Rattus norvegicus: one gene and its partner. Each later gene encodes a partner of the first gene's protein in a complex. Links are inferred from orthologs where the notes say so. Each region holds a gene or a part of one and is shown in the gene's direction. Other genes may lie near its edges.

The links.
Region 2: the proteins of Espl1 (region 1) and Pttg1 are in contact, whole or in part, in a cryo-EM structure (PDB 7NJ1), measured with the Homo sapiens proteins. The link is inferred for Rattus norvegicus from reciprocal best matches to the Homo sapiens genes ESPL1 and PTTG1. Residues at the interface, in NP_036423.4 of Homo sapiens: His402, Thr405, Val406, Tyr409, Ser461, Asn462, Tyr465, Tyr468, Arg505, Arg508, Glu512, Glu544, Thr547, Phe548, Arg551, Gln590, Lys593, Ala594, Val595, Arg596, Thr599, Gly600, Arg603, Gln634, Cys637, Tyr638, Trp683, Ile686, Glu690, Ile697; in NP_001269311.1 of Homo sapiens: Tyr111, Pro112, Glu113, Ile114, Glu115, Lys116, Phe117, Phe118, Pro119, Phe120, Asn121, Pro122, Leu123, Phe125, Glu126, Ser127, Phe128, Asp129, Leu130, Pro131, Glu132, Glu133, His134, Gln135, Ile136, Ala137, His138, Leu139, Pro140, Leu141.

The regions. Positions count from the first base shown.
Region 1 is NC_086025.1:135,296,376-135,312,225, forward strand, and holds the start of Espl1 (separin), read left to right. Parts: upstream 1-6,340; 5' UTR 6,341-6,386; intron 6,387-6,404; exon of another isoform or gene 6,405-6,556; intron 6,557-6,678; exon of another isoform or gene 6,679-6,707; 5' UTR 6,708-6,716; coding exon 6,717-6,797; intron 6,798-7,581; coding exon 7,582-8,637; intron 8,638-8,812; coding exon 8,813-8,917; intron 8,918-9,203; coding exon 9,204-9,315; intron 9,316-11,835; coding exon 11,836-11,972; intron 11,973-12,915; coding exon 12,916-13,109; intron 13,110-13,876; coding exon 13,877-14,116; intron 14,117-14,542; coding exon 14,543-14,687; intron 14,688-14,775; coding exon 14,776-14,914; intron 14,915-15,096; coding exon 15,097-15,236; intron 15,237-15,850. UniProt on the Homo sapiens protein: Caspase-like protease, which plays a central role in the chromosome segregation by cleaving the SCC1/RAD21 subunit of the cohesin complex at the onset of anaphase. During most of the cell cycle, it is inactivated by different mechanisms.
Region 2 is NC_086028.1:28,394,803-28,409,606, reverse strand, and holds Pttg1 (securin), read left to right. Parts: upstream 1-3,280; 5' UTR 3,281-3,293; exon of another isoform or gene 3,294-3,678; intron 3,679-3,730; exon of another isoform or gene 3,731-3,797; 5' UTR 3,798-3,820; coding exon 3,821-3,908; intron 3,909-4,734; coding exon 4,735-4,913; intron 4,914-6,793; coding exon 6,794-6,887; intron 6,888-7,958; coding exon 7,959-8,117; intron 8,118-8,806; coding exon 8,807-8,886; 3' UTR 8,887-8,963; downstream 8,964-14,804. UniProt on the Homo sapiens protein: Regulatory protein, which plays a central role in chromosome stability, in the p53/TP53 pathway, and DNA repair. Probably acts by blocking the action of key proteins.

The DNA.
Region 1 (15,850 bases):
AATTGCTGTCGTTATCATCACATAACTGGGTATGTGGTCAGCTTGATCCTGCTGGGTCAGCCTATTCTTCTGACTGGCAGGCATGGAACAAAGGGACAACAGCTATACTAGCCGGGCAGGCCTCAACATGTATGAGGGTGTCAGATCCCCCTAAACTGGAGTTACAGTTGTGAGCTGCCACATGCCCGCTGGGAATTGAACCCTGGTCTCCGGAGGAGCAGCCAAGGTTAATTGCTGAGTCATCTGTCCAGCCCCCCACATGCCTTTTTCAAAAGATTGGATCTCATGTAGCCTAGACTGGCTTTTAATTCACTGTATCATAAGGATGACCTTGAACTTCTGATCCTTCTGCCTCTATCTCCCAAGTGCTGGGATTGTGGACATTTGAGGTATTTCCTGTTTTATGTAGTACTGGGAACTGAATCCAGGGCTTTGTGCATGCTAGCCTCAACTGAGCTATGGTTCAATTGACAAGCTTTTTGTAACTTGAGGTTCAAACCATGACCATATTCTAAATAGATATGCCCGACCACTGAGGGGCACTCTTAGTCCTAACACTGTTTTTCACTAAGTGACACATACCTTTAATCCTAGCCCTGGAGTTGGGGTTATAGAGGCAGAAGGATCTCTGAGTTCCAGGCCAACCAGGGATACACAGTGGGACCCTGTCTCAAAAGCAAAATGTAAAAGCAGCTGTTCAAGGACTGTAAATTACTGTCATGGTCACCAAGGTCGTCTTCTTCTTCTCCTTCTTCTTCTTCTTCTTCTTCTTCTTCTTCTTCTTCTTCTTCTTCTTCTTCTGCTGCTGCTGCTGCTGCTGCTGCTGCTGCCGCTGCTATTAGATTTATTTATTTATTTAAGAAGGGAAAAGGGCATCAGATCCCATTACAGATGGTTGTGAGTCATCATGTAGTTGCTGGGATTTGAACTCAGGACCTCTGGAAGAGCATTCAGTGCTCTTAGCCACCGAGCCATCTTTTCAGCCCCATGGGTCCCAGTTAAAATGGAGATGTAGGGGCTGGAGAGATGGCTCAGCGGTTAAGAGCACCCGACTGGGGCTGGGATTTAGCTCAGTGGTAGAGCGCTTACCTAGGAAGCGCAAGGCCCTGGGTTCGGTCCCCAGCTCCGAAAAAAAGAACCAAAAAAAAAAAAAAAAAAAAAAAAAAAAAAGCACCCGACTGCTCTTCCAGAGGTCATGAGTTCAATTCCCAGCAACCACATGGTGGCTCACAACCATCTGTAATGAGATCCGATGCCCTCTTCTGGTATATCTGAAGACAGCTACAGTGAACTTATATATAATAAATAAATACATCTTTAAAAAAAAAAATGGAGATGTAGGATCTGGAGAGAAGGTTCAGTGTACCCATTCACAAGAAGGCTCACAATTCCTGTAATGTTAGTTACAAGTGAAGCAATCCCACTCCCACGGTCTTCTTGGGCACCAGACATGTATGTGCTACATATATACACATACAAGCAATCATACATAACCATAAAATAAGTCTTTAAAAACACAGATGGGGGCTGGAGAGATGGCTCAGTGGTTAAGAGCACTGACTGGTCTTCCAGAGGTCCTGAGTTCAATTCCCAGCAACCACATGGTGGCTCACAACCATCTGTAATGGGATCTGACGCCCTCTTCTGGTGTGTTTGAAGACAGTGTACTTATATATAATAAATTAATCTTTTTTTAAAAATTTATTTGTCTGCTTTATTTATATGAGTACACTGTAGCTGTCCTCAGACACACCAGAAGAGGGCATCAGATCCTATTACAGATGGTTGTGAGCCACCATGTGGTTGCTGGGAATTGAACTCAGGACCTCTGGAAGAGCAACCAGTGCTCTTCACCACTGAGCCCATAAATAAATCTTAAAAAAAAAAAAACAACCCATAGATGGAGGATGGGCATGGTGGCACACACCTCTAATCCCAGCACTCGAGGGGCAGAGGCAGACAGATCTCTGTGAGTTCCAAGACAGCCAGGGCTATGCAGAAAAACTCTATCAAAAAATTCACCCCACCCCCCAAAAATAAAATAAATCCAAAGATTTATTAAAAACATTTTTATGTTGGAAATTTGAAGTATAGCTAAGTGGTAGAGGGTTTGCCTAGCATGAGCAATGCCCTAGGTTTAACCCATAGCACTGCAAATAAATATTAATAAATTAATTAATTCTGTAATTAACTGATTCTATAATTAAACTAAGTGTGGCACTCCAGGACGGTAATCACAGTACTTAGGAGGCGGAGACAAGAGCATCAGGAGTTTAAGTTCAGCCTCTAGGATAGCCTAGGTACATGAGACCCTACCTTCAAAACAAAACAAAACAAAGAAATCTGGGCTGGAGAGATGGCTCAGTGGTTAAGAGAACTCTTCCAGAGGTTCTGAGTTCAGTTCCCAGCAACCACATGGTGGCTCACAACCATCTGTAATGGGATCTTTTTTTTTTTTTTTTTGGTTCTTTTTTTTTCCGGAGCTGGGGACCGAGCCCAGGGCCTTGTGCTTCCTAGGTAAGCGCTCTACCACTGAGCTAAATCCCCAGCCCCTCTGTAATGGGATCTTATGCCCTCTTCTGGTATGTCTGCAGACAGTGACAGTGTACTTCTATAGAATAAATAAATAAATCTTTAAAAAAAAGAAAACAAAGACATCTCTGTATCTTAGAGTATCTATTGCTGCAACAAAACGCCATGACCTAAAAGCAAGCTGGGGAGAAAAGGGTTTATTTGGGGATGGCACCACTCACTATAGGCTGGGTCGTCCTCTATTGATCACGAATGCTTTATAGCTGGATCTCATGAAGGCATTTCCTCAATTTCCTCAACTGTGGCTCTTTCTTCTCTGATGGCTTTAGCGTGGGTCAAGTTGACACACACACAAAAAAAAAAACAGGCAGTACATGTGGGTCTTATCCCTAAGACATTATATATACATGTGTGTATGTGTATATATGTATATGTGCACACACATTATATGTGTCTGTGTGTATATATACACATGTACACATGCATGTTCAAGTATGTATTTGAATGTGTAAATGTTACATATGTTTCTACACACATACACACACACATATTTATTTCTGTACACACACACACAAAAAAAACCTTCCACAAATGAAATCCAAAGCACTCTCAGGGTCTTCATTATAGGATGTAACCCTTAGCTGATTGTGGTGTTGGGGCACTCCTTTAACATCCTTTAACATCAGCGCTTGGGAGGCAGAGGCAAAGGGATCTCTGTGATTTTGTGTCCAGCCTGGTCTATAGAGCAAGTTCTAGGATAGCCAGGACTACACAGAGAGACCCTGTCTCAACAGAACAAAACAACACAAGAAAGGATGTAACCCTAATTATCTCTAAGAATCCCTAATTATAATCATACATCCCTAACTATTTCTAATACATTTGACTCAACCTGTAACCCTAGGACTCCTCCCCCTTTTAAAAACATTTAAGCGTATGCGTGTTCCTGAATGTACACATACATATGACATGAGTTGACAAGCCCGAGAGGGTCAGAAGGGGTGTCAAAGTAGAGATGGTTTGAGCTGCCATACGGGTGCTAGGAACTGGATCCTCTACAGGAACAGACTGGGCCTTCTCTCCAGATTCCCCCCTCCCCCTTTTTGAGATAGGGTTATCTCAGTGTACTTTTATGTAGCTTTGGCCAGTCTGGAACTCATTATGTAGACCCTGGCCTCAAACTCAGAGACACTATTGGCTTCTTCCTGCCGAGAGCTGGGAGTCTGTACGCCCTTTTTACAGAGACTGAGCAAATGAATCTGGCTTCACTGCCCAGTCTCAAGTTCAAAGTTCATTCCCCTCTCTATGCTGCCTCTTTTATACATTCAGTATTCAGATGTAAGATTAAACTACATGACTTAGGGCTGGTAAGATGGCTCAGAAGTTAAGGATTCGTGCCACCAAGCCTGATGACCTGAGTTCAATCTCCAGAACCCACATGGTTGAGGGAGAACAGACTTCTTCAAGTTGGGAGCTGTTCTCTGACCTCCACAGGTACCCGTACATGACCCTATGAATACATACACAATAAATAAATCACATGAGTCAAGTTTTATCAGGTACATTTTTTTTGTTGTGTTTTTGAGATAAGGCCTGTCTAGAAGGTCCTGGCTGACCTGATACTTGCTCTGTAAACCAGGCAGGCCTCTCAGTAACAGAGATGTACTTGTGTCTGCCTCCAGGGTGCTGGGCTTAAAGGCTGGGCTTCAAGCCGCCACACCTGGCTTTGTTTTGAGACCAGGCTTCTAAGAATTCACTGGCCTTGAACTTGGTAAGTAACCACATATGACCTTGAACCCCTGATTAACTTCTCTCTCGGTCTCTCGAGTGTTGGATCCCATATTCCTGACTTGCACCCAGCTTTCGGTAAAGACCGTGTGAATAAGCTAGGTATTGTGGTGTAAGAGGAGATCAACGCTTCGACCATTGATGTCTTCATCCTCCTTTCTCCTAGGTCCTTTACCCTACGAGGGGTATCCTGGAAATGTCTAATCACTACTGATCGGTCTACTGTGGTACTGATTCCTAGAACCCTGGGCCTTGTGCACACTAGGCATCTGCTTTAACCCCTGAGCTATATCTACAGCCCTCTCACTTTTTATTTTTGTTTGTTTATTTTAAAAGGCCTCTTTCTTTTTTTTTTTATGAGTTATTTTCCTGCATGGCTATGTGACCCTATGTGTCTGGTGCCGGAAGGGGTCAGAAGAAGACATAATGATCCCTAGAGGATGTGAGCCACCCTGTGGGTGCTGGGAACCAAACCTGGATCCTCGGCAAATTTTTATTTTGAAATGGTTTAAATGGCCCATGTTAGCCTTGAACTCCCTCTGTGGTTCACTCTTTGAACCTGAGATCTTCTTGCTTCAGGCTTCCCAATACCTGGGATTATAGCCTTGGGTTAACAGGCCCACCTTGTAACAAGTATTGTTCGTTTTAAAAATTGATTTGATATACTTATATGTGTAGGTGTTTTGTCTCTACATATGCCTGGGTACCATGTGTGTGTCTGGTACCCTAATGGACCAGATCCCTGGAACTGGAGTTTCAGAGACCTGTGAGCCACCATGTGGGAAGAGCAGTCTTGGCTGTTTACCATTGAACTATCTTTTCAACCCTCCCCCCCCCTTTAGAACGTTGTTTGGTTTTTTTTTTTTTTTTTTGTTTTTTTGTTTTTTTGTTTTTTTTTGAGACGAGATCTCACTAGACAACCCAGGCTGGCTTTGAACTCCAAGCATTTTTTTTCTGGTCCAGGAGTTAGGCCAACTGCTTAGTAGGCAGACAGATAGGGAACGGGGCCATGGCTAGGAAATAGAGGTGGTGAGTTTCTAAGATGGTCACTTCTTCCTCAAACCCCTGACTTGAGAGAAAAGCTCAGCATCTTTAGTGTCTGCATTAAATATCACCATTCCCACGTTGAATTTTTCTTGTGGGGGAGATGTCGTTTTCTTTCCTCTTATTCCCTTCCCTTCCTCCTTCTCCTCCTTTTACTTTCTTTTCTTCTTCTCTTTTATTATCTTTGCTACCAGAATCTTAGCCCTTGAGAGTTCCACGTTGGGGCTGGAGAGATGGCTCAGTGGTTAAGGGCACTGACTGCTCTTCCAGACGTCCCGAGTTCAGTTCCCAGAAACCCCATGGTGGCTCACAACCATCTGTAATGGGAATCCGATGCCCTCTTCTGGTGTGTCTGAAGACAGCGACAGTGTACTCATATACATGAAATAAATAAATCTTTAAAAAAAAAAAAAGCGTTTTAAAGACCCGGTGTGGTGGCACACATCTTGAACCCCAGCATTCCCAAGGCAGAGGCAGGTGGATCCCTCTCAGAGGCCAGCCTGGTCTACACAGCAAGTTCCAGGACAGCTGGACCACGTAATAAGAACCAACTTCAAAAAAGGAAAAACAAAAGTCCGTCGAAGGTTACTACACCTTTTCCTCTCTAGTAACACAGAGCAAGTCATGTGGGTTTCTTAGTATTTTAATTCCCTTGAAATTTAAAACCCTGACTGAGCTCAGGGGATAAAGGAAAGAAAGACGAAGTCACACTGCAGGGTGACTGTAGTTGACAGCAGCTGAAGAACCAGCCGGTGCCCCAGTCCTTCCGCTCCAGAGCGGTAACCGCCCCTCCAGGAACACGTGACAGACAGCGCGGTGGGTAAACTACAACTCCCAGAGGGCCAAGCGGCCGGCCTGCGTAACGCTTTCTCGCTGATTGGCCACTAGAGATATTTGAAAGGAGGTGCTGGCGCGGAAAACGAAGCGTACCCACCGGTGTTTGGTGGAACTCCGGCTGGAGGGTAGTCCTAGACCGGTGAAACACGGCCTGGAGGGTCTGGTGAGCGCGCGCTCAAGCTGCGGTAAGTGACGTTCCCATTGCTGACCTGGGGAGAAACGGGGCGACTCCGCGGAGGCTCGGCGACCCCCGAAAGGGTGTGGTCGGTGCCCAGGACCCTGTGGAGCCCCCTGGGGTGGCCTGGTGGGACACGGGGGACAAGGGGCCAGTTTATAACGGGAGTCCAGCGTCCAGGCATGTTCTCCCCTCCCCCATAGGATTTCTGGTGGGATTCTTTGCCTGCTTTTTCCTTTGAATCCTCTTACAACTTTCAATCCCTTCTTTCCTCCCGTTGTTTCCATTATGACCCTTCGCAGGCTTCTACAAACCATTTCGTTGTGTCTAGACTTTTGCCATGAGGAACTTCAAAGGAGTCAAGTTCGCCACTCTACTTTGCTGCAAGAGAGAGACCCAGGAGTTGCTGCCTGACTTGAAGGTGGGGCCCTTTCTGGCTCAGGACACACCTAGTTTCTGAGATTATCTGGTTTTTTTTTTTTTTTTTCTTTTCCTTTTTATTTATTGTTTTTATTTTAAAAATTACTTTTCCATACTACAGGATCTCATGCATTCAAGAAAGCACTTCACGGGGCTATAACTCTATATACGTTTTCACTTTTAAAAATAACATATATCTTTATATATTGTATATAGTACAATATATAAGCTATATATATCAAGTTTTTTTGAGACAGGGTCTCATCTCTTGCCCTGGCTGTAAGTCACTATATAGACCAGGTTTACCTTAAACTCAGATCTACCTGCTTCTGCCTCCCAAGTGCTGAAATTAAAGGCATGTATCAGCATGCCTGGCCTGTTTTCACTTTTTCTTTCTGTAGTTGTCTCCAGACATACCAGAAGAGGGCATCGGATCCCATTACAGATGGTTGTGAGCCACCATGTGGTTGCTGGGATTTGAACTCAGGACGTCTGGAAGAGCAGTCAGTGCTCTTAGCCGCTGAGCCATCTCCAGCCTCCTGTTTTCACTTTTTCATTTGGAGACAGTGCTCTCACTAAGTGGCCCCAGCTGGCCTTGAACTCACTCAAGCCTGGGAGGCTCTTTGAACTTTATCATTTTCTTGCCTCCGCACGGGCCTGCGCCGCCACCAAGCCTGGCTTGTGTTTTGCCTTAATTTGGAGAGAGATACATGTGAGAGGCCCTATTTCTACTTTTATTTCCCTACCTCTCTTTTCCGCTTACCCGGCTTAATTCTTTCTCATAGGAGTTCCTGTCTAGATCTCGAACTGATTCAGTCAGCAGCAGAACCGATGCTGAGAGAAGACAGGTCTGTGACACCATCCTGAGGGCTTGCACCCAGCAGCTGACTGCCAAGCTTGACGGCCCTGGTCACCTGAGAAGTATCCTGGACCTGGCAGAGCTGGCCTGTGACGGCTACTTGTTGTCTACCCCACAGCGCCCTCCCCTCTATCTGGAACGCATTCTTTTTATCTTACTTCGGAATGGTTTGACTCAGGGAAACCCAGACGCTGTGCTCCGCCTTGCCCAGCCTCTCCATGCCTGCTTGGTACAGAACTCTCGAGAGGCTGCCCCTCAGGACTATGAGGCTGTGACCCGGGGTACTTTTTCTCTGCTTTGGAAGGGAGCAGAAGCCCTGTCAGAGCGGCGAGCTGCATTCTCAGCTAGGCTGAAGGCCTTGAGTTTCTTAGTGCTTTTGGAGGATGGCAGCCTCCCTTGTGAGGTCCCTCACTTTGCTTCTCCAACAGCCTGTCGGGTAGTTGCCGCCTATCAGCTGTTTGATGCTACTGGACAAGGTCTAGATGCAGCTGACGCTGACTTCGTCTATGACTTGCTTTCTAGGCATGTGATCAGAGTCTTAGTAGGCGAGGGTGGTAGGGCTTCTGGTCCGCTCTCTCCTCAGAGGGCCCTCTGCCTCTTGGAACTCACCTTGGAACATTGTCGTCGACTCTGCTGGAACCAGCACCACCACAAGGCTACCATAGCAGTGGAGAAGACTCGAGATCACCTAGGAAATAGCAATGTAGCTCCCAGCCTCCAACTGTGCCAGATGGGGGTTGAGCTGCTGGAAGCTGTGGAAGAAAGACCAGGGGCAGTGGCCCAGCTCCTGATGAAGGCAGCTGCTATTCTGAACAGCAGTATGGATGGGCCATCACCCCCGCTCCGGGCATTGTATGACAGCTGCCAGTTCTTCCTTTCAGGCCTGGAGAGAACCATCAAGAGGCACTATGGAGTTGATGCCATATTGAATCTCTTTGCTTTTCTTGGGGGATACCACTCCCTTGTCCGGCACCTGCGAGAAGTGAGTTAAGGACCTAGAGTATAGGGGTGGGGAGTGGCTCTGTAAATAACTGGAAGTTACCCTTGATAAGCTGCCCTCTGAGCTGTGCCCGGCTTCAAGGACTCTAGACAGTACTTGGCACAAAGCTCGCCGTCTCTGGGTTTCAGACCAGCTGCCCCTTCCTTTCTCCCTTCAGGCCTCCGAAGCGTCCTCTAAGCAGCAGCAGAGCCTGCTCCAGATGCACTTCCATACCCTCCACCTCTTCACTGGGATTGTGTATGACTTTGCCCAAGGCTGTCAGGTACCATCTGGGAGTCAGGAAACATGGATAGTCGAGGTTGCTTCTCAGAAGAGCTTTGGGTAATTGGGTAGTGGCAGCTCTCTCCTTTAATCCCAGCACTCGGGAGGCAGAGAGAGCCAGGCAGATCTCAGTCTTCGAGGCCAGCCTGGTCTACAGAGCGAGTTCCAGGATAACCAGGGCTACACCCCATCTGGAAAAAAAAAATGTTTGGTTTCGGGTGTCAGTTCAGGTGGAAGTCCCAGTGGCCCTTGCATGACTTCTGACCCTCGACCTTCTGTTCCTTCAGGTAGCTGAGCTTGCTCAGCTAGTGGACAGTTGCAGATCTGCTGTTGTCTGGATGTTGGAGGCCTTAGAGGGCCTGTCTGGTGGAGAGCTGGCTGACTACCTGGGCGTGACTGGTTAGTGCCTTGGGGTTCCGCTGCACTGCTCTAGGGGACGGCTATCACTTGTCAGGCTGGCTAGTATACATTTCTGACCACTCGCTGTGCTGAGTGCCAAAGGTTTAAGGAGGCAGGGAGAGACATATCTGTAAGGCTAATACAGGAGAGATGGTGAGGCTTAGGACAGAGGATTTTTTTCTCATTATGTTTGGCAGTTTGATTTGGTAATTGTTTATAAAAAAAAAATGTGTGCCTAGTATGCAATGTTACAGAAGTATGCACCTTAACTTTTGTTAGTTTTCTTTTTTAGCCAGAGTCACACTGTGTCGTAAAAATTGGGCTCAAACACATAGCAGTACCCCTGCCTTAGCTTCCCAAGTCTGGGGTCACAAGTCATAGTTTACCTTTTTTTTTAATTTAATTTGGGATTAAAGACATACGCCACCGCACCCGACTACATCTATTTTGAGAAACTGCATTAGGTCAAGGAGTTTATTTAGCCTTAGAACTGCTTCCTCCCCTCCAGCTCCATAAATAACACTAAAATTTATTCACTCAATAAAACTGCCAAGCCATGTCAGATCCATTCCTGCCACTGGAACCTCATCCTAGTTTGGGGGAAATGTAACTGGATAAATGAAATACTAACATTAAAAGGTGAAAGGCTGGAGAGGTAGCTCAACAGTTAAGAGTACTTGTTCTTACAGAGGCCCTGGGTTCAATTCCCAGAATCCATATGGCAGCTCACAACTATGTGTAAACCCAGTTCCAGTCCAGGGAATCTCCTCACTCTTCTGACCCTTGTGGGTACCTGCACACACATGTACACATACGTGAGGGCAGAACGTTCATACACATAAACACTGAATCGAAATCTTAAAGTAAATGATAATACCTGGGCCTGGGGACTCACCTCTGCTCCTAGCTCCAGGGAGCCTGAAGGAAGAGCACCAAGTGCTCAGTGTGAGACCCCATTTCAGAACTCAAAAGTGGGGACAAGGGAGATGTCTCAGCCAGTGAAGGCATTTGCTGCCAAGGCTGGTGACCTGAGTCTGGTCCTTGGAATCCACATGATAGAAAGTGAACCAATTCCTTGAGGTTGTCCTCTGCCCTTCACATGTGCACTGTGGCATATGAACACACAAACAAAACAAATACAATTTTGAAAGAAGTAATGAAAAATGAAAGGTAAGGAGTAGATTAGAAAGGGAGGCCCCAGGAGCTGGAGAGATGGGTCAGTGGTTAAGAGCAGTGGCCGTTCTATGTGAGGACCTGTGATTGATTCCTAGTACCCGTGTGGTGTTAGAACCACCTGAGCTCCAGTCCTAGGGAATTCAGTGTCCTGACCTCTGTAGGCACCATACACATAAAGTAAGGTAGAATAGTAAGTAAGCCAGCCTGGCATCATGGTACATGCTTTTAATCCCAGCACTTGAGAAGCTGAGACAGGTGGGTCTCTCAGTTCAAGGCCAGTCTGGTCTACAGAGTTCCAAGATAAACCTTGTTTTGAAAAACAGCCAGGTGTGGTAGCACACACCTTTAATCCCAGCACTCAGAAAGCAGAGGCAGGGGGATCTCCTGAGTTTGAGGCCATTCTGGTCTACAGAATGAGTTCCAGGACAGCCAAGGCTACATAGAGAAACCTTGTCTTGGAAAAAAAGAAAAAAGAATAAGTAAGCTTTTTTTTTTTTTTTTTTAAGATTTATTTTACTTTACTTACATAAGTACTCTGTAGCTATCCTCAGACACCAGAAGAGGGCATCAGGTCCCACTACAGATGGTTGTGAGCCACCATGTGGTTGCTAGGAATTGAACTCAGGACCTCTAGAAGAGCAGTCAGTGCTCTTAGCCACAGAGCCATCTCTCCACCCCACATAAGTAAACTTTTTTTTTTTCGGAGCTGGGGACCGAACCCACGGACTTGCGCTTGCTAGGCAAGCGCTCTACCACTGAGCTAAATCCCCAATCCCAGTAAACTTTAAAAAAAAAAAAATTTTAGTTTTATTTTCAGTGCATTGGTGTTTTGCCTGCATGCATGTCTGTGTAAGGGCATGAGATCTTGGACTTACAAACAGGTGTGTAAGTCCTCACTCACACCCAGGTTCTCTGGAGGAGCAGCCAGTGCTTGTAACCACTGGGCCATCTCTGCAGCCCAAGTAAACCTTCTTTTTTTTTAAAAAAAAAAAGCAGAGTCCAGGAAGGGCAAGGAGTCTGAGTACCATTGAATTACACTTGGAAGCCTTTAGCATGACGATGCCAGGGGAGAGAACATCCATGCAGGCATGGCTCTAACAACCAGTGGCATGAGGGGAGGAGGAGGCAAGGGAGGTCAGTGCAGCTCAGCCTCGTGCAAGTGTGGAGGGGCTGCTGGTGTGAGTTTCCTCACAGGGATCCTGAGCAGCAGCTGGGGTGGAGCCAAAGATTGCCCTCCTGTATGTTCCTTGATGGTTTGGATTCCATTGTGTCCTTATCTGGAAGCTAACAAGATGACCCCAGGTTGAGCACCTCTGACATCGGTTGTCCTTTCTCTCCCTATAGCCTCTTACACCAGCAACTTGGCCTACAGCTTCTTTAGTCAGAAGCTCTATGAGGAGGCTTGTGCCATCTCAGAGCCAGTCTGTCAGCACTTGGGCTTGGCTAAGTCAGGCGCTTGTCCCGAAGTGCCTCCTGAGAAGGTAGGAGGGAATGAGGTGTGGAAAGGGAGGTTATGTCGGGCGAGTTGTGAAAGGGCCAGCCTGCAGCTCTGCGGGACAGTGGGACTGGCTGGCAGCGTGCCCAGGGCAGTGATTCCCTAACAACCTTGCCTGAACTGTTGCTTTTTCCTTCCTTCTTTCCTTTTTTGGTACAGGGTCTTACTGGCCTGGAATTTGTTATGTAGACCAGGCTGGCCTCCTCAACCTGACAATTTATCCTTAAAATGGCTTCTTTTCCTTTTTACTTTTTGGTGTTCTCGTAAGCCAGTTCTAATCCTAGCCTCACATTAGAGTCATCTGAGTGAACCTCAGGGACATTCTAGTGTAATGCTTGCCTCAAGTTAATTACGTTGGATCCTCACCCTAGATCGCAGGCATCTACATGTTCTAAAAAGTCTCCCACACACCCAGGGCGGCCAGAGTAAAAAGCAGTGGGTTAAGAACGGCTGAAATTGACGGGTTGCTGCATTGGCAAGTGACTTGGGGTGTGTGGGCATGAGGAGCTGAGGGGTGTGGATGGAGCCATGACGTCAGGTGGGCGTCTGAATGGCTTTGCTGTTACTGGCAAACAGTTGCAGGGCAGAAGCCTGGGCAGGAACGGCTGTGACAAAAAGCAATGGATGGTACAGGGCCCTCATCTTGAGTTAGTTAGGTGGGAAGGAAAGAGTCACAGAAGGTGGAATGGGTCCTTCAGGTTGTGGATGTAGACCGTAGAGGGGCTCCTGAAGCAGAGAGTACCAGAAGCTTGGTTCTCGAGGATTACAGAGGCAGGAGGACCACCTGCTATCTCTCTTCCACGTGCTGCGCCGCGCTGCGCTGCGCTGCGCTGCGCTGTGCTGTGCTGGCTGTCTGCCCGCTGCGCTGCGCTGAGCTGCGCTGCGCGCACTCAGTGGCTCCACGTTCCAACCCTCCTGTCTCTGGTCAGCTACATAGGTGCTTCCGGCTGCATGTGGAGAGTTTGAAGAAATGGGGTAAACAGGCCCAGGGCTGCAAGATGGTGACCTTATGGCTGGCAGCTCTGAAACCCTACGGTCTCCAACACATGGTTGAGCCAGTCACTTTCTGGGTTCGGGTCAAAATGGATGCAGCCAAGGCAGGAGACAAGGAGCTACAACTGCAGTGAGTTGGAGGGGGGAGGAGGACCATCCTTTCTGCCCATGGATTGGGGCACGTCCCTCAACCTGACTCCGTCTATGTAGGCCTGGCCTTGAGATCCTTCTGCCTCTGCCTTCCTAGTGCTGGAATTAAAGGCCTGTGCCGCTGGGTCCGGCCGCCTCAGTCCTTAGTGCTGTGCCTGGCCTCCTCAGTCCTTCTGAAAGTGATTTTTTTCATCAGTTATGCATTGAGTATAACTGGTTATAGGGCAGATAGTGGTCAGAAGCAATGTTTGGTTTTTGTTCTACTTGGAGAAATAGAACTAAGTATATTGCATGTATTTTTCATGAAGACAGAACATCCATGACCTGTTAAATAAAAGGGGTAAACTTTAGGGGGGTAATTTAGGCAAGTGGTCTGTATGTAAGGCCTGAAGATATGCAGAAATCCATCATCAAATGCCTTAAAGAACTAATCACAAAATACCGGTGCTGGGGTGGAAACAAACTTGGAAGTGGGAACTGGTTAGAGAAAGCCAGCATTGAGGAAGGGGAGAGAGGTTGGGGTGTAGCCTGCCAGTAGAAGGGTTAGAAGCCAGGCCACACAGGGTTTTATTTTATAGGCCATGGCACAGGTTTGGAGGTGACCCCTCATGGAGCCCCCTATATTAGAGGAGCCATATGACCTGATTACACAATTAGATGCACAGCAAGTACTGAGCTAAGGCAGAGGCTCCCCGGTAAGGTACAGACTCTTCGAGGTCTTCACCCTGGTGCTGATCTGCCTTTCAGGACTTTGCGAGACAGCCTAAGTTGCTGGGACCCAGAGATGCAGTCTCTGCTACTGAGGGAGGAGCTGCAGGCCTATAAGGCAGTACGGGCTGACACTGGGCAGGAACGCTTCAACGTCATCTGCGATCTGCTTGAGCTCAGCCCTGAGGACACAGCAGCTGGAGCCTGGGCACGAGCTACCCACCTGGTGGAATTGGCCCAAGTGCTGTGCTACCATAGCTTTGCCCAGCAGACAAACTGGTGAGGAGATAACAGGAGACTGACTGCCCGTCCTGATGTTTCTGATAATGGGGATCAGTTTCCTAGTCTATCGCTGAGTGCTCCCCTTGTGTTAAGCGCAGCTCACTATGGTTTGCCTCGTGCTCTAGCAGAGGGCATGGTTTTGCCAGCTGCAGACAGTTTCTGCAATTGTGTGACCTTTGGAGTTTTGGGAACTTTTCAGAGGCTGTTTAAATGCTAGGGCACAGAGAAGTGGGGTTGGTGGTGTTGGCCGTTCAGGGTGGTTTGTTATTAGTAGTGGTGCTCAAAGAAGAAGCAAAAATGAGAGATCAGATTCAGAAATATCTGTCTCTTTCTCTCCTTCCTTTCCTCCTCCCCTTCCTCCCCTACCTTCTCACATAGTAGCAGAGACCAGCTACACCCCCACTTACATTCATCTTTCTACAGCTCTGCCTTGGATGCTATCCAGGAGGCCCTGCAGCTTCTGGAGTCCGTGAGTCCCGAGGCACAGGAGCAGGACCGCCTTCTAGATGACAAAGCACAGGCCCTGCTATGGCTCTACATCTGCACCTTGGAGGCCAAAATGCAGGAAGTATGTGGAACTGAGCCCGACCCAGCTGCTCCCACCAAGCTGGTACCAGTCCTGGGTTTTGTTTCAATCTCTCTTCTTTCCCAACCAGGGTATCGAGCGGGATCGGAGGGCCCAGGCCCCTAGTAACTTGGAGGAATTTGAAGTCAATGACCTGAACTATGAAGATAAACTGCAGGAAGATCGCTTTCTATACAGTAACATTGCCTTCAATCTGGCTGCTGATGCAGGTGAGGGCTCAGCAGTGTTGGGCAGGCATCTGGGAGGCTTCCCAACGCGCCCCAGGCTGGCCTTATGCTGGGGATGTGGGGCAGCGAGGGAGAAGGCCGGCTCAAAGGCACAGCATGGTGTGGGGAAAGCCAAGCTCTTTCAGGATGGCCAGGTGGAGAAAGTGTCACCTTCTGGTTTACAGCGCAGTCCAGATGCCTGGACCAGGCCCTGACTCTGTGGAAGGAAGTGCTCACCAAGGAGCCAGCCCCAGCTGTGCGGTGTCTCCAGCAGACGGCAGCCTCCCTGCAAATCCTGGTGGCCATCTATCAGTTGGTGGCAAAGGTAATGGGATGGCTGGAGTCGGCCAGGGTTAAACTGGAACCCGAGCACCTGCACCTTTGACCTGTGCTTGTGAGAAGCCATGTGGCCTAAGAGTGTGGGCTCTGCTGGCTGTGGTGCTGTACATAGCTCTAGCCCTTGGGAGCTAAGGCAGGGGATTGTGACTTACAGGCCAGCTTGCAGTATGTGGTGACATTCTTTTGTTTAAATGGGGGTGGGGAGCAAATCCATAACTCAGTGGTTGAGTACTTGGTCAGTAATGAGTCCTGGATTCAGTCCCAGTGCCACAAAGAGGTGGGAAGCAGTAGTTTTCTCTAAATGGCATTGTTAACATTAACACGATGCATAGAAGATGCTTTGTATAAATGGAAAACTCAAATGTTAACCTCAAGAATTACTGGTTCCGGGCAGTAGAGGCCCATTTCTTTAGTCCCTGGCTGCCTAGAACTTGCTCTGTAGACCAGGCTGGCCTGAAACTCACCTGCCTCTGCCTCCCCAGTTCTGGGATTACTGGTCATGCTTAAATTTTACGTAGGTAATGAAGACCCAAACTCAGATTATTAGGTACTGTAGTGACTGAATTGTCGATCCAGGCGCCCCTGCCCCATCGTTTTGAG
Region 2 (14,804 bases), on another chromosome or scaffold:
ACACAGCTTTAATCCTAGCAGAGATAGATCTTTTTTTTTTTTTTTTTTTTTTTTTTTGGTTCTTTTTTTCGGAGCTGGGGACTGAACCCAGGGCCTTACGCTTCCTAGGTAAGCGCTCTACCACTGAGCTAAATCCCCAGCCCCAAGATAGGCGTATCTTTGAATTCCCGGCCAGTGACATAGTAAGACCCTTTCTCAAACAAACAAAAAGTTAAAAGACAAAACATAAAAGGGAAAATATTAAACAAACAAACTACTGGAAAATAGTTGATTTGGTTGGGGTTTTTTCCTTTTAAAAAGGATTCATGTTTTGTTTTATGTGTGTAAGTTTGCACATCATCGGCATCAGATCGTCTGTGACTTGAAATACAGATATAAGACTGTGAACCAGCACGAGTACCCAACCCCTGCAAGAACGAGCTGTTTTGACTACCGAGCCATTGCTTGGAAATTTTTCCTCATGCTGTCTTGTGGTTATTTATACTTCCCCTACATGAACTGCTCTTCAAATAAACAGGACTATAATCAACATTCCCACCTCAAAGAGCCCAAAGTAGTTAATTGTTTTTTGTTTTTTTTAAGAACTTGAAGGGCCTGGAGTTAGGAATGTAAGACTTTGAGTTTTTTCAAGGCAGGTAAAGGAAGAGCAGAAGTCAGCTGACTTGTTCAGAGGGCAAGAAAGGAGGAATTTTTCCAAGGCTTGAGTTCTCAAGAAGAGAGCATCTTTGGATGAATGCTTTTTTGTAAAGCTAGATTAGGAGAGACTTGTATTAGCTGAGGACTCCATATTATACATGGGTTTACCAACCAGATACATTATTCCCCAGTAACAAGCGGGGAATCACAAAGTTGGCCTAGGGATACCATCACTAAGAAAACCATGGACTTTTAAAGACAGGGTGGTGATAGAATTTACACTTGCAGTGGACCTGGGGAAAAGCAATGTTTCCTGTTGGTGAGAGGGGAAGAAAACCTCTCAAGGAATTAGACAATGTTCATATGGAAGCTGTGGGAGTGTATACAGATTTATTTTTGAAAGCGAGACTTCTATGTGCTGGTGATTTAATATGAAGAAACTGCAATTCAGAAATAGATGCAGAGAGAAAATAACAGGTTGAAGGGATAAAAGGAACAGGAAATAGATGGGACAGTAAAGGTATAAGTGGTGTGTGTGTATGTGTGTGTGTGTGTGTGTGTCCACGTGTTCATACATCCATGCGTCCATCATGCCTGAATGTGTTGTTTCTATTCAACTCCTAGAGTTACATATTTATTAGGAACATCACTTTGCTCACAAACAGATTTGAGGAAGTAGAGTAAGACAGATCCCAGTCTGGTGTGCCGAGGGTAGCCCTGTGTAGGGAATAGCTCTCAACCACAATGGTAAAGGAATTACTCGCACACATCAAACTGTCCTCGCATTTACCCAGATTACTTTTTTTGGATCCTATTCTACTGCTAGTGACTGTTTTCCTATCTCACTTTATAAGTGTTCCCCTCAACCCCTTTTTCAGTTGAAATTTGATTAGACAATCACAAGCTTGCTTTCTCTTGGTTGTAGACTGACGGCTACAAAACCATTCCTCAGTTGTTTTTTCTCCTTTTAAATTTAGATTTGATTCCTTTATTCTCTGGGTGAACAGTATTTTAGTGGACGTTAGGAAAATAGTTTTGCCACTTTCTTGCTTTGAGTTTCTAAATATCTCTCCCCACTTCCCCGCACCCTGGTTAGGGCCTTTCTTATGTTAGGCAGACACGGCTACCCAGCTACATACTCAGCCCTCAAAAGACTACTTAAGAACATCATGCCCAAAAAGTATCTCTGGAAAAAAGTGTGTTTTGACATAAGTCAGATCATAATTCCTTTCTTAGAGTTAAAGATCATGTCCCCTCCCCTCTCCTATCTTTGCTCTCTCAGGCTGGCCTTGAAGTTGCTATGTGGCACAGAATGACCTGGTCCTCCTGTCTACCACATCACTGGATTTACACTCTTCTAGGTAAGCTATCTCTCTCTCTCTCTCTCTCTCTCTCTCTCTCTCTATATATATATATATATATATATATATATATATATATATATACACACACACATATATATATGAAACTTTTCAAAATAAGTGTAAGTTCCTTAAATTTTATCAGTACCAAAATGTTTGCCTTCATCACTTCACAAAACCAAGATTTATATCCACCACTTCTCTTTGAATATTTCCTTTCTTTTCTTTTGCAGATATTCCCTATGTGGTCTTGTATAGCTTCATGAACTCAATATGGAAACCGGGCTGACCTCAACAAACTCACAGACCTTCTTTTGCCTCAGTCTCCCAAGTGCTGAGATTAAAGGTGTGTGTCACCACGCCCAGCTTCTTCATTTTGAAGGACCTCTTTGGATAGGATTATGGGAAGATCCCGAAGCTAAACGGGATCTGTTGGTATTGAATAAACAACGGCGTCCGTTTGTGTCTAGACTGAGGAAGAGTCACAGAGAAGGAGATGCAGGATTTGACTAGGGCTGTGAAATTTTGCTATCTTATTCCTAATAGAAAGCTTTCTTGATCTACCGCTCACCACTTACACATCAGCATCTCTTGTGGCTCCATAGAGCTGAGGACTTCACAAACTGTCACGACCATTTTAGAAAGATTCTGCCCAGCAGGAGGGGGATGGGCGAAAATCCTAGCTCAAGTATCCCACTGTCAATCGTGGAACTTTAGAATGTTTTCAGGAGACTAAGGAACTTTTAAGCTAATTAAACGTAATCACACACATAGCAGAAAGGGTTATTAACAATGCCGATTTCAACGGGAAGGCCTGGCTTCTCAAATGTCCATTCTTTGTTTCCAAACCTGTCGAGTTTCCCAGTTTCTAAAAATAAGAAATTAACTACTACTTAAGAGGCAAAGGCAGGTAGATGTGTTAAGTTCTAGGTCAGTCTGGTCTGCATAGTGATTTCCAGGACAGTCAGGGTCCTCTTCGAGAGCAAGTGCTCTTTCCAGTCTCAGGTTTTGATGGGGGCCGACCCAAACCATCTCAGTAGATTGGTGCCTCTGACTTTGACTTGAAGATTTAAGGTCTGGATTAAGCCTCTGGGCTTCTTTAATTAAGTGTTTGTGTTTATGTTGGTCTCTACTACTACTCTTTTTTTTTTTTCCGGGAGGGGGCGGTGGTTGAAAACTTCCGTTGCTCTCATTGGTTCTCAGACACTAGGCCCCGCCTCCCATCGGATGGACCAATTGAAGCGCGAGTTGGAATTCAAACTGCGGTGCGCCGGGTCGTTGGTGGCGTAGTCTTGGGTGAGTTTTAGCTGCGAGTGTGTCGTTGCCAAAGATGTCTTGGGCGAACTCGGGGTGGCGGGGCAGGAAGACCCGGGACTGGAGGCTGGAGCAGGGTCGGGACTTGTGCTTCACTGGGCCCGGCGTCCCGGGGCGCTCTTGGCGTGCTTGACCCAAAGCGACGCTGTTTTCATTTTCTTTCTTCCCTTCCCACACACTTCAGGGTCTCAAGCAACCCAGACTGGTCTTGAATTGTTATGTAGCTGAGGCCAACCTTGAGCATCTGATCCTCTTGGCTTCTCCTTCCTATCGCTGAGCTGGTAGGCTGGAGACAGTTGTTTGGGTGCCAACATCAACAAACGATTTCTGTAGTTTAGCGTTTATGACCCTGGCGTGAAGATTTAAGGTCTGGATTAAGCCTGTTGACTTCTCCAGCTACTTCTAAATTTTTGTGCATAGGTGCTCTGGTCTCTGTTGCTGCTTAGTTCTTCCAGTCTTCCTCAATGCCAGTTTTATAATATGCAGGTCTCTCCCCTCAGTAATCCAGGATGGCTACTCTGATCTTTGTTGATAAGGATAACGAAGAGCCAGGCAGCCGTTTGGCATCTAAGGATGGATTGAAGCTGGGCTCTGGTGGTAAGTATCAGCTGCCTTGAGATACACAGGTGTCGTGAATGGATTATGGCCCCTAGTATTTAGTGTACTTTTGTGGTTGACCGGAGTCAGGTTTGATATATTTTCACGCTTATTATCTTTCTTTTTAGAATACAGTGTCATGTAGCTCAGACTTGGTCTCTAGTTCCCTATGTAACCCTAGGATGGTCTTGGACTTCTGATCCTTTTGACTCCCCCCCAGCCCAGGGCACTGATTAGAGGCAGGGGCCACTGTGCCCAGCTTATGCGCTGTAGGGGATGGAACTTGGAGCTTCTCAAATGTTAGGCAATCACTCTCCCTAATGGTCACATCCCCAGGCACTATGCTTAAATCATTTTTTGAGATGGGGCTCCCCTACATAGCTTTAATTGACCTGGAATTTGCTATACAGATCAGGCTGGCCTTGAACTCAGAGATCCACTTATCCCGGCCTCCAAAGTGATGGGATTAAATGTGTGTTGCTACGGTGCCTGGCTTCATGCTTATTGCCTTAATGAGTTTATTGAAGGGTTCTAAGTCACTGCCCAAAATGAAGCACAGGTTTGTGGGTGAGAATTAAGTTGATGAGGTGTTTACATGGCCTGACCTTGAAGAACAATGTATTTATTACCTTTATTTGTGTATGGGGGGGGGGGAGTGCACACATGCCATGGTGTGTCTGTGGAGATCAGAGGGCAACCTGTGGGAGTCCATTCTCCTTATGCTATGTGGGTTTTGGGGGTTGAATTCAGGTTGTCCGGTATGGCCGAAAGCCCTCTACCCACTGAGTATGTTATACTTTTATGATTGTCCTTTTTTTTTCAACAGTCAAAGCCTTAGATGGGAAATTGCAGGTTTCAACGCCACGAGTCGGCAAAGTGTTCGGTGCCCCAGGCTTGCCTAAAGCCAGCAGGAAGGCTCTGGGAACTGTCAACAGAGTTACTGAAAAGCCAGTGAAGAGTAGTAAACCCCTGCAATCGAAACAGCCGACTCTGAGTGTGAAAAAGGTGAGCGAGGGCTGCGAATACTTGCACATGTGTTGGCGCTTTATAAAAAAAAAAGTTTATTGTTTTTATTCATGTATATGTATCTGCGTACAAGCAGACTACATGTGTGCAAGGCACCCAAGGAGGCCGGAAGAGGGCGCTGGGTTCTTAGGAAAAGGAGTTGCAGCAGGTGTGAGCTGCCTTACGTGGGTGCTGGGAACTGAGTCTGGCTCCTTCGGAAGAGCAGAGTGGCAAGTGCTAACCACCGAGCCATCCCTAAGCCCCGCTGTAGCACTCGAGTGCTTAAAAGCGGACTTCCCCCTGCCTTTCTTCCTCTGAGTCCGAGGTAAATAGAGGTCCAGAAATGCAGAAGCGTCAGGCTGTGCTACTTCTCAGCACCCTGAGATTGCAGCTCTCGGGGACAGTAGCTAATGCTGATTCTTCTGCTTCAGCTGTTCTTAGCTAGTGCCAGGAAGCAGTTGGCTGGGAGGCCTGAAGCAAACGTGTGAAGTATTTAACTGGGTGTGATAGGCACCTGCAATCCCAGCACTTGGGAGGCTGAAGCTGGAGGAGAGGCTGGTTGGAGGCTAGCCTGAACTACACACCCTCCTCCCTACTTTGGTATACACATAGAGTGGATAAGATCGGATGTTTCTGCTGCTTCTTAATTCCATCTGCTTAAGGAACACGAACTTGTTGATATTAACAAAGTAATTAAGGTAACAGTGGCAGAAAAATCACACTTTTATAAGGTAAAAGTGACTTCCAGGATTAGCGACTATTCTGGGGGTGCCTCAAGCCTGTTTTGCTCACTGTTAGGTTTGAACAGTTGAGTTGATTAACTTTGAATTAACCCTGCTCATTATTCTTAGTGATATCTGTTGACAGGTGCTAAGATGTCGTGACTTTAATAGGAGTACTTTTTTTTTTTTTTTTTTTTTTTTTTTTTTTGGTTCTTTTTTTTCCGGAGCTGGGGACCGAACCCAGGGCCTTGCGCTTCCTAGGTAAGCGCTCTACCACTGAGCTAAATCCCCAGCCCCAATAGGAGTACTTTTAATTTATGCGTTTGGATATTTGTCTGTATGCTATTGTATTGGTTAGGGTTTTACTGCTGTGAACAGTAAATGTAACAACATTTAATTGGGGCTGGCTTACAGGTTCAGAGCTTCAGTTCATTATCAATGCAGGAAGCATGGTAGTAAGTGTACAGATAGGTATGGTGCAGGAGGAGCTGAGAGTTCTACATCTTTGTCGAAGGTGGCTAGGAGAAGACTGGCTTCCAGGCAGCTAGGACAAGGGTATTAAAAGCCCACGTCCATTGTAACACACGTATTCCAATGATGAGGCCACACCTCCTAATAGCATCCTTCCCTGAGCCAAGCATATACAAAGCATCACAGTATGTACGTGTACCATCCCTGAGGAGGACATGAGACATTGTTTCCTTTAGACTGGAGTTAAAGATAGTTGTGAGCCACCCTGTGGGTGCTGGGAATTGAACCTTGGTCTTCTGTAAGAACAGCAAGTGCTTTGAACCACAGAGCCATCTTTCCAGTGTGTGTGTGTGTGTGTGTGTGTGTGTGTGTGTGTGTGTGTGCGCGTGTGTGTGCGCGTGCGTGTGCGCGTGCGTGTGCGTGTGCGCGCGCGTGCGCGTAGGGCAGGGCTGGCACATGTGATGGCATGTGTGTCAGAGTCTGAGGACAACTTCCAGGAGTCAGTTCTCTCCTTACATTTACACTGAATCCTGAAAACTAAGTACTGTGACTTCTTAGAAGACAGCACTGAATTGACAAATTCTAAATAGTGACGTCAGCATTTGAAGAGGCTGCCCAATCTCATGCTACCATGCAGGTGGGCAAGACTTCCGTTCTCACAGTGCTTATTCTCTTTGGTTTTTCTAGATCACCGAGAAGTCTACTAAGACACAAGGCTCTGCTCCTGCTCCTGATGATGCCTACCCAGAAATAGAAAAGTTCTTCCCCTTCGATCCTCTAGGTAACAATGCCTTTGGTATGATGGGCAGGCCCTCTGCTGGAGATTTCTCTCAGACTGATTTCTCCATGCGACTATAATGTGCAGCTCTAGAATCCCAGACTGTCTGAACCTGGGTTACTTTGAAAACATAGACTGTTCAGGTGGACTCACTTGTATCACCTTCAGAATGGGAGCAAAGATACCAAGGAAACATCAAGTTCAAGGTGATCATTGTGTGAGTTCAAGGCCAATCTGATCTACAGAGCAAGTTCCAGGACAGCCAGGGCTATGTAGAAGGGACCCTGTGGGGGGAAAAAGTGTAGTGGGCTTGGGGGTGCACACCTTTAGTCCCAGGCAGAGGCAGGCAGAGCTCTCGAGTTCAAGGCTAACCAGGGCTATGTAGAGAGACCCTGTCTTAAACAAACAAACCAAAAAAGAAAAGGCCAAGTATAAATAATGTAAGATAAAAATTCAAATTAATGTCATGCTAACTATTACAGGTGAGTGTTCCACGATTCTAAACTTTTTCCCGTTTCTGAATTCCTCATTGGTGACAACATTTTCCTTGAAGTGCGGTAGACTTCCCTCATTCCTTGAGGAGAGAGTATGGAAGGAATACATTCTCTTGACTGTAGTTTGCCTTTCAGATGAAAACTGTCTCCCAGGAGAACAACCCTGGCTTGGCTTGCAGCTCAGAGCACTGTAAATCCCTTTTTCTGTGGCATCAGCATGCTCACCGTAGTTTTGTAACAGAATCTTTGACAGGGAATGGGGACCTGCTCTGCAGTTCAGCATGGTTTTGAACTCACGGCGATCTGCCTACAGTCACTCTCCCACACCACCATAATACTTGCATCCCAGAACCTATTAAAGAATGTTCAAGAGCTGGGCCGTTAAAATTATACTTTTTCCTGAGTCTGGCAAAAGTAATAGTTAAATTAGGGTGGTAACTTTATTATCTAACTGGCTATTGTTAAGTTGGATCTTAACAATATTCTAAATGACGAATAGTGGCGAAGAATAGTTTGACTTGGTGGACCTCACTGGGGCCAAGGGAGCACTCCCCTGATGCTTGCCTCCCCTCTGTGACAGATTTTGAGAGTTTTGACCTGCCTGAAGAGCACCAGATCTCACTTCTCCCCTTGAATGGAGTGCCTCTCATGATCCTGAATGAAGAGAGGGGGCTTGAGAAGCTGCTGCACCTGGACCCCCCTTCCCCTCTGCAGAAGCCCTTCCTACCGTGGGAATCTGGTGAGTGAGGCCATGCCCTCTCGATGGGCTGTAAGCAACTTGTTAAATGGCATGTGTTGTTGTAGGGACAGTTGTATGGGTGAGCCAGTGTGCAGCTTTGGGGATACAGGGACAACATCTAGAACAGTAACTTTCCTTGGTCGTTGTGGTTGGGTCCAAAAAGGTGTTCTGGAATCTTGGTAAGCCTTTGGTGATAGCAGAGGGTGGAGTTTACCACACAGCTTCTTAGGCTATGAGTTGAAGCCTATAGTAAAGTAACTGAGACTGGACGAACACTCCAGTTTCTGTCCTCGGCTGTCAGAGGACCAGTGTAGACCGACAGTTAGCTTGTAACCTCTGAAAGCTTAAGGCTTTAGTGGGAACCGGTGGTCAGAAGTGCCTCCCTCCTGTTCTGATGAGGTGGGTTGCCAGTCTGATTTTATGATTTGGTGAGACTTTATGCTCAGGAGAGCAAGAAGCTTCGAGTACTTCAAAGACCTGCCTCTTGAGGAGGGTCAGTTCCCAGGCCACATACCCACCCCCTACCCCTCCACCCCTACCACCCCCCCCACCCCCCGTCGTTTGGGAAACCTGCATGTGCGAGTGAGATTCGTTACATGAATGTAGGATGAAATTAGCAGCTAATGTTTGTTATGGATAATGGCTATAACGGAAGTGCAGAGTCCAATGAGGAATCCCTCTTCCTCCAGATCCGTTGCCGTCTCCTCCCAGCGCCCTCTCCGCTCTGGATGTTGAATTGCCGCCTGTTTGTTACGATGCAGATATTTAAACGTCTTACTCCTTTATAGTTTATGTAAGTTGTATTAATAAAGCATTTGTGTGTATGCTCTGACTACCTAACCCAAAGCAAAGCCTGCTTGGTGTTTCTTGGTGTTGGGAGACGCTCTGTTTTCCTTTGGAAGTATATCCGTCAACATGTACTCTGTTGCTTTTTCGTGGCTGTTAACCAGTGACAGTTATCAGGTGTCTTAGAAGAGTCCCTTCCAACTCATTAAGTGGCATTCTTTATCACCAGCTCGGTTTAGTCATTAGTATTCACTTACCGTATACTAATGACTTTACTATTTGGTAGCCAGAATTTGAAAGGCTCTAAACCTTCTGAGAACCCAGTCTCCTTGGGCTCACTAGTCAGATACTTTGACGATCACTGTAGGTAATTTACTTACGGTAGGGCTCACTCCCCACCTATAGGAATTGGTTGTGTGTCCAATCGTGGACATAAGTATTTGATAAGCATTAGTGTTGTTGATGTCTAAGCCTATATTCTTAAACGATGAGGAGCTGGGACCTATGCTTTTGAGTGAGCGATACTTTGCAACTACCACAGCATGGCCCGTGTCTCTGAAGTATGATGTGTTTTGCAAAAGATGTGGGGCTCCAGCCCCGAGGAGGGGAGGGCCTTACATCTCAGTTTACCTCTTGAGGGTATGGTATAGGATACATGCGGAAATGAAGAGTGATCAGAAGCCTGGAGGAAGGGGCTTCAGCGGGGGAAGAATGAGGTCCTCTGGTCTGCTTTTGTATCTGCCACTGGAAAGACAGTGCTCCGGGACGCCACTTTCCAGTCGTGTACCTGGAAGACTTTTCCTTTCCCGGGCATTCTCCCTTAAAAATGAATTTTAATTACTGTCCCATGGAGCTCTGGATGGTGTGAAGTCTGAAGCTTTTCCTTGATGGGGGTGATGTCTAAATCAGAGCCACGCCTGCCTCAGCCCTGCCCTCTGCTCTAACTGGGTTCAAGGTCCTTGGGAAATGGCACATTCTCCTTTCTGTGCTCGCTGCTCTCACTGAGTCTGGGTATAGCATTAACTAAGTCACGCAGTCACTATTATGCTGTCCTAATTTTATCCAGCAATAATAAAGCCACTTTTGAATTCAGCCCCACTCAGGTTTTGGAATCTGGTTGGAATGGAGCTGGATTCATTACCAAACGTAACACGAGTGGTCTTCAGTTCCCGCAAAGAGCTCTTGTTCTCTGTAACCCAGGGGGCAGTCCTTCCTGTCCGTCTTTCTAGCAGCGATCCAGTCTTCTGAACTCCTCCCAGGACGGTCCACTCAGCCTGCTTCTCCAAACTCTTAACTCCCTCACACGGATGTGTTCCCCAAGGTCTACAAGGCCACACTGTCATGTTTATTACAGCAGCGGGTCCATGCTTTGGTCCCACTTTTTAGTATTATGTAATCCATCACAGTCGGGAAGGCAAGGCTGGAGCGCCTCCTCGCTGTGGCATCAGGTTAAATCTCTGTGAGGAAGCAGGGAAAAAAATGGGCTCGGTGCTTAGCTTGCTTGCTTTTTTTCTCCCTTCTTGGTCAATCCAGGACCCCAGCCAAAGGGATGGAGCCATCTACATTCCAGAGTTGGTGGGTCTCTCTAAATCCTGTCTGAAACCCTCAGCTACTCTCAGGTGATCCTCACTGATGTCTTAGACATTCCTTAACCTAATCAAGCTGACAATCAAGAATACCCACCACAGGGGGGCCATCTTGAATCTGCCCTTCCAAGCATAGCCTTTCAATGCTCTTAGCACCTCAGAGAACCAGGGTAGATGAAGGTGTCCCTTTATCAGGATCTCCAGGCTCTAAGGCTTGGACTACTTTAGCAGGTGTCCTACGCTGATAAATACCTGGACGTGGAAGCAGGAAGCTAGTCTTCAAGTTTCAGGTAAATGCCCACTGGAGCCTATTCAATCCTCTCAGGGTGCTTGTTACTCACAGGGCTCGCATCACAGCCCAACGCTAACTTAAATCTGTGTGTGTGTGTGTGTATAGGGGTGTGTATAGGTCTGAGGATAACTTGTGGGAGTCTCTGCTTTCGTCCTGTGGGTCGCCGAGATAAAACTTAAATTGTCAAGTTTGGCAGCAAAGCCCTGTATAACATGTTGAGCCGTCTTGCCAGCCCCAGTGCTGATTTTGAATTCAATACTCAGTAGCTTTGGAGAGCTCAGCCACATGTGTTTGAGACAGGAACAACCAGACGCAAGACCTGTTCCTCTGTCCAGCTAGGGTAAACTCTAACCAAGGGTCTTGTCTTTGTTAGTCTCCAAGTCCCATCAGCTTGTGGAATTGGATTCCCACAGGGAGAGTGCTTTGTCCTGTGTTACCACGTTGTCCTGTAAGAGGAACTTTGGATTGATGGTCCACTTCTCACACCACACAGTGGAACCGGCCGCAGGCTCTCCAGTATGCAGAGCCATGGAGGGGTTTCCATGGTGATCGCCTGTACCATCGCTCACCTCACAGTTGCTGCTGCATGCAGAAGTGGGAGCTGCCTGCCCTTGGCATGCCGCTCAGAGATCCGGTTGCAGCTGGCTTCTGTCTTCCTGTACAGTTGCACCTCACGACCAGAGGCATAGTGGGGCCGGAACCAGAAGTGATGGCAAGGGCACCTGGCTTGGGAAACACCTTCATTTTCCTGGGAAGATGAAATTGAGCCTCCTCCATATTTCCAGGTTGAAAACTTGGAGCGTGGCTAGAGTAGTGGTTCTGAACCTGTGGGTTTCAACCCCTTTGAAGGTCAAACAAGCCTTCCGTAGGGGTCACATATGAAATACATTATGATTCTTTTTTTCTTTTTCTTTTTTTTTCGGAGCTGGGGACCGAACCCAGGGCCTTGCGCTTGCTAGGCAAGCGCTCTACCACTGAGCTAAATCCCCAACCCCTTACATTATGATTCCTAACAGTAGCTACATTAGTTATGAAGGAGGTAGTTTTATGATTGGGGTCACCCCCAACATGAGCAACTGCAATAAAGGGTCACAGAATTGAAAAGGTTGAGAACTGGGGCTGGAGAGATGGCTCAGTGGTTAAGAGCACTGACTGCTCTTCCAGAGGTCCTGAGTTCAAATCCCAGCAACCACATGGTGGCTCACAACTATCTGTAATGAGAGCTGAGGCCTTCTTCTGGTGTGTCTGAAGACAGCTACAGTGCACTCATATATAATAAATAAATAAATCTTTAAAAAAAAAAAAAAAGGTCGAGAGCCACTGAGCTAGGGCAACATAGCAGCAGCTGTGTTCCAGCCCCATCTTGTAACTGAGGCAGAGGGAAATGGGTGTCAGATGCTAATAGGACAGTTGGATAGAGAAATGACAGGTCATAGGGTTTTACTGCTTCAAACAGGCACCATAGCCAAGACAACTCTCACAAGGACAACATTTAATTGGGGCTGGCTTACAGGGTTCAGAGGTTCAGTCCATTATCAAGGTAGGGGCACGGCCGCATCCAGGCAGGCATGGTGCAGGAGGAGCTGAGAGTTCTACATCTTCATCTGAAGGCTGCTAGTGGAAGAATTCTGACTTCCAGGCAGCAGGATGAGGGTCTTATCAGCCCACAACCACAGTGACACACCTACTCTAACAGGGCCACACCTTCTAATAGTGGCACTCCCTGGGCCGAGCATATACAAACTTTCACATGACAGTAGAAAGCGAGGGAACTGGAAACCAAGAAAGCAGATATAAATAAGGAGAGATGGCCCATCAGTTAGGGATGAGAACGGCATCAGGCAGTTCACATTACCCCCATTACTCCAGTTCCAGGGGCATCCCACATCCTCTTCCGGCCTCTGTGAGCACCTGCACGCATGCGCACCAAACTTCCTTCTGAAGTCACATTATTAAAAGTAAATTCTAACCAAGCAGACATAAGATCACATAACCTGGCGCTGTTGAACTTTCTGGTTTGTGTCTCTGAAGGTTAACAATGACCCCGATGGATGCGTATAGTGTTCACTCTGGCTCTTGTAGGGCACTATGCCAGGCTGGGTAGCTGAAACCTTGGAGATATATCCTCACAATTCTGGAGTTAGAGATTCAAGACCCAGATGTGTGTAAGGTTGGTTCCTTTCGAGGCCTCTTTGACTTGCAGTTAGGATCTGTACCAGAACGGACCAATGTCTTTGTGGGAGGAAGAAAATAACGTTACTGCAAAACGACCTGAAGTTTCAAGGCACATGGAAGGAGTGTGGGCTGGTACCCCAGTGAGGGGATGAGAAGACGGCGGAACAGAGATTCTCTCCACTGATGCTCGGGGAGACGTGAGGTTTAGTGAGTAAAGAGGCTGTTGAGTCCAGAGGACATCCTGGTACTCTGGGTATGAGGTATGTCCTGAACGAAACGGCTCACCTTAGTCTGATTCCTATTGCTGCCGTAAAGACTTGGACCAAAAGCAACCTGGGGAGGGCAGAGTTCTTGGTTACACATCCTGGTAACATCGCATCACTGAGGGAAGTCAGGGCAGGAACTCAAGGGCTGGAACCTGGAGGCAGGAGCTGCAGCAGAGGCCACGGGAGAGTTGCTCAATGGTTCACTCAGCCCGCTTTCTTACCTTTTTGGCATTAGCCTAGCTTCTCCCAGCTGGGCCATTGTCTCAGCCCCAGCCTGTTTTCTTGCACAACTGAGGACCATCTGCCTAGGGGTTGTACCAGCTGCAGCGAGGGCTCTCCCTCATCAACCATTCATCAAGCCAATTTGATGGAGGCGGTTTTTCCCAATTGAAATTTCCTCTTCCCTGTTGACTGGGTTTTGTGTTAAGTTAACAAAATACTAAGTAGCACACTGCTGGTAAGGAGGCACGCGCGCACGCACATTTTGCACACATGCACGCACACACGCTACACATTTTGAGACAAAGTCTCCTTATGTGTCCGGGACTAGTCTTGAACTCAAGATCTTCCTGCCTCAGCATCCTGATGCTAGGATTTCAGGTGTGCATCACCACATCCAGCTACATATTTTAATTAACATGCAGAGATGGCGTCCCTTCTGATACCAAGCTTCTTAGACTCCATGGGATTGTGTGGATATTTTCCACGAGTTCTCTTCCTAGAGACAGAATAGGAGCCAACAGGTTATTATTCTTGGTCATAACGAGCAAGAGTCGTTTAGGACTGAGCCAGAGGCCATCTTCATTGCTTGATGGATTCTCTTCAGGGTTATCATCTCGCTGGTGGCTGGTGGCTGTGTGCAGAACACACGGGGAAGAGATCTGCCTCAGAATGCCAGCATTGTCAGGAAAAGCAGACAAGAAAATGACAGGCACAACGAATTCCCTGGGATGCAAGGCTACTGGAGGAGCAGAGGCCTTTGCCCATCTACCCTTTAGAGTAGTTATTCTCAATGGCTGTCTAGAGAACCCCAGGGGTACTCCAGACCTTTGTAGGATTTCATGAGATCGAGTCTATTCTGTTGATAGCACTTACATACCTAGTTATCTCTCTCTCATTCTTCCACAGGAGCACGGTGGTATTTTCCAGACGGGGACTTTTAAGTGTGAGATCACAGCCGACTGCATGCAGAAACAAATCTAAGAATCCAGCTGTTAAGGAGACCTGAAAGCATGGTCAGCAACACCGGCCTTCTCACTCGCTTGTTTCCTTTGAGAAGAGGATTGTCTTTCATAGACTATTTTGTGTTGACACTAACAGGCTTATTATAGCCATGTTTAAATTAATTAGCAACTGTTTAAAAGAATTCCTCAGGTTTATTTTTTTTAATCACTATACACATCGACGGAATCCTTACAAATAAAATCTTTTGTGGTCTTTAGTAATCTTTCGTGCATAATATTTTTGTGTGTGTGTATGTTCATCTTTGTTGAGGGTGCGTTTGTATTCACGTGTGTGTGTGTGTGTGTGTGTGTGTGTGTTGGGGGACATGGCAGAGGACAACTTTAGGCCTTTGGAGCCA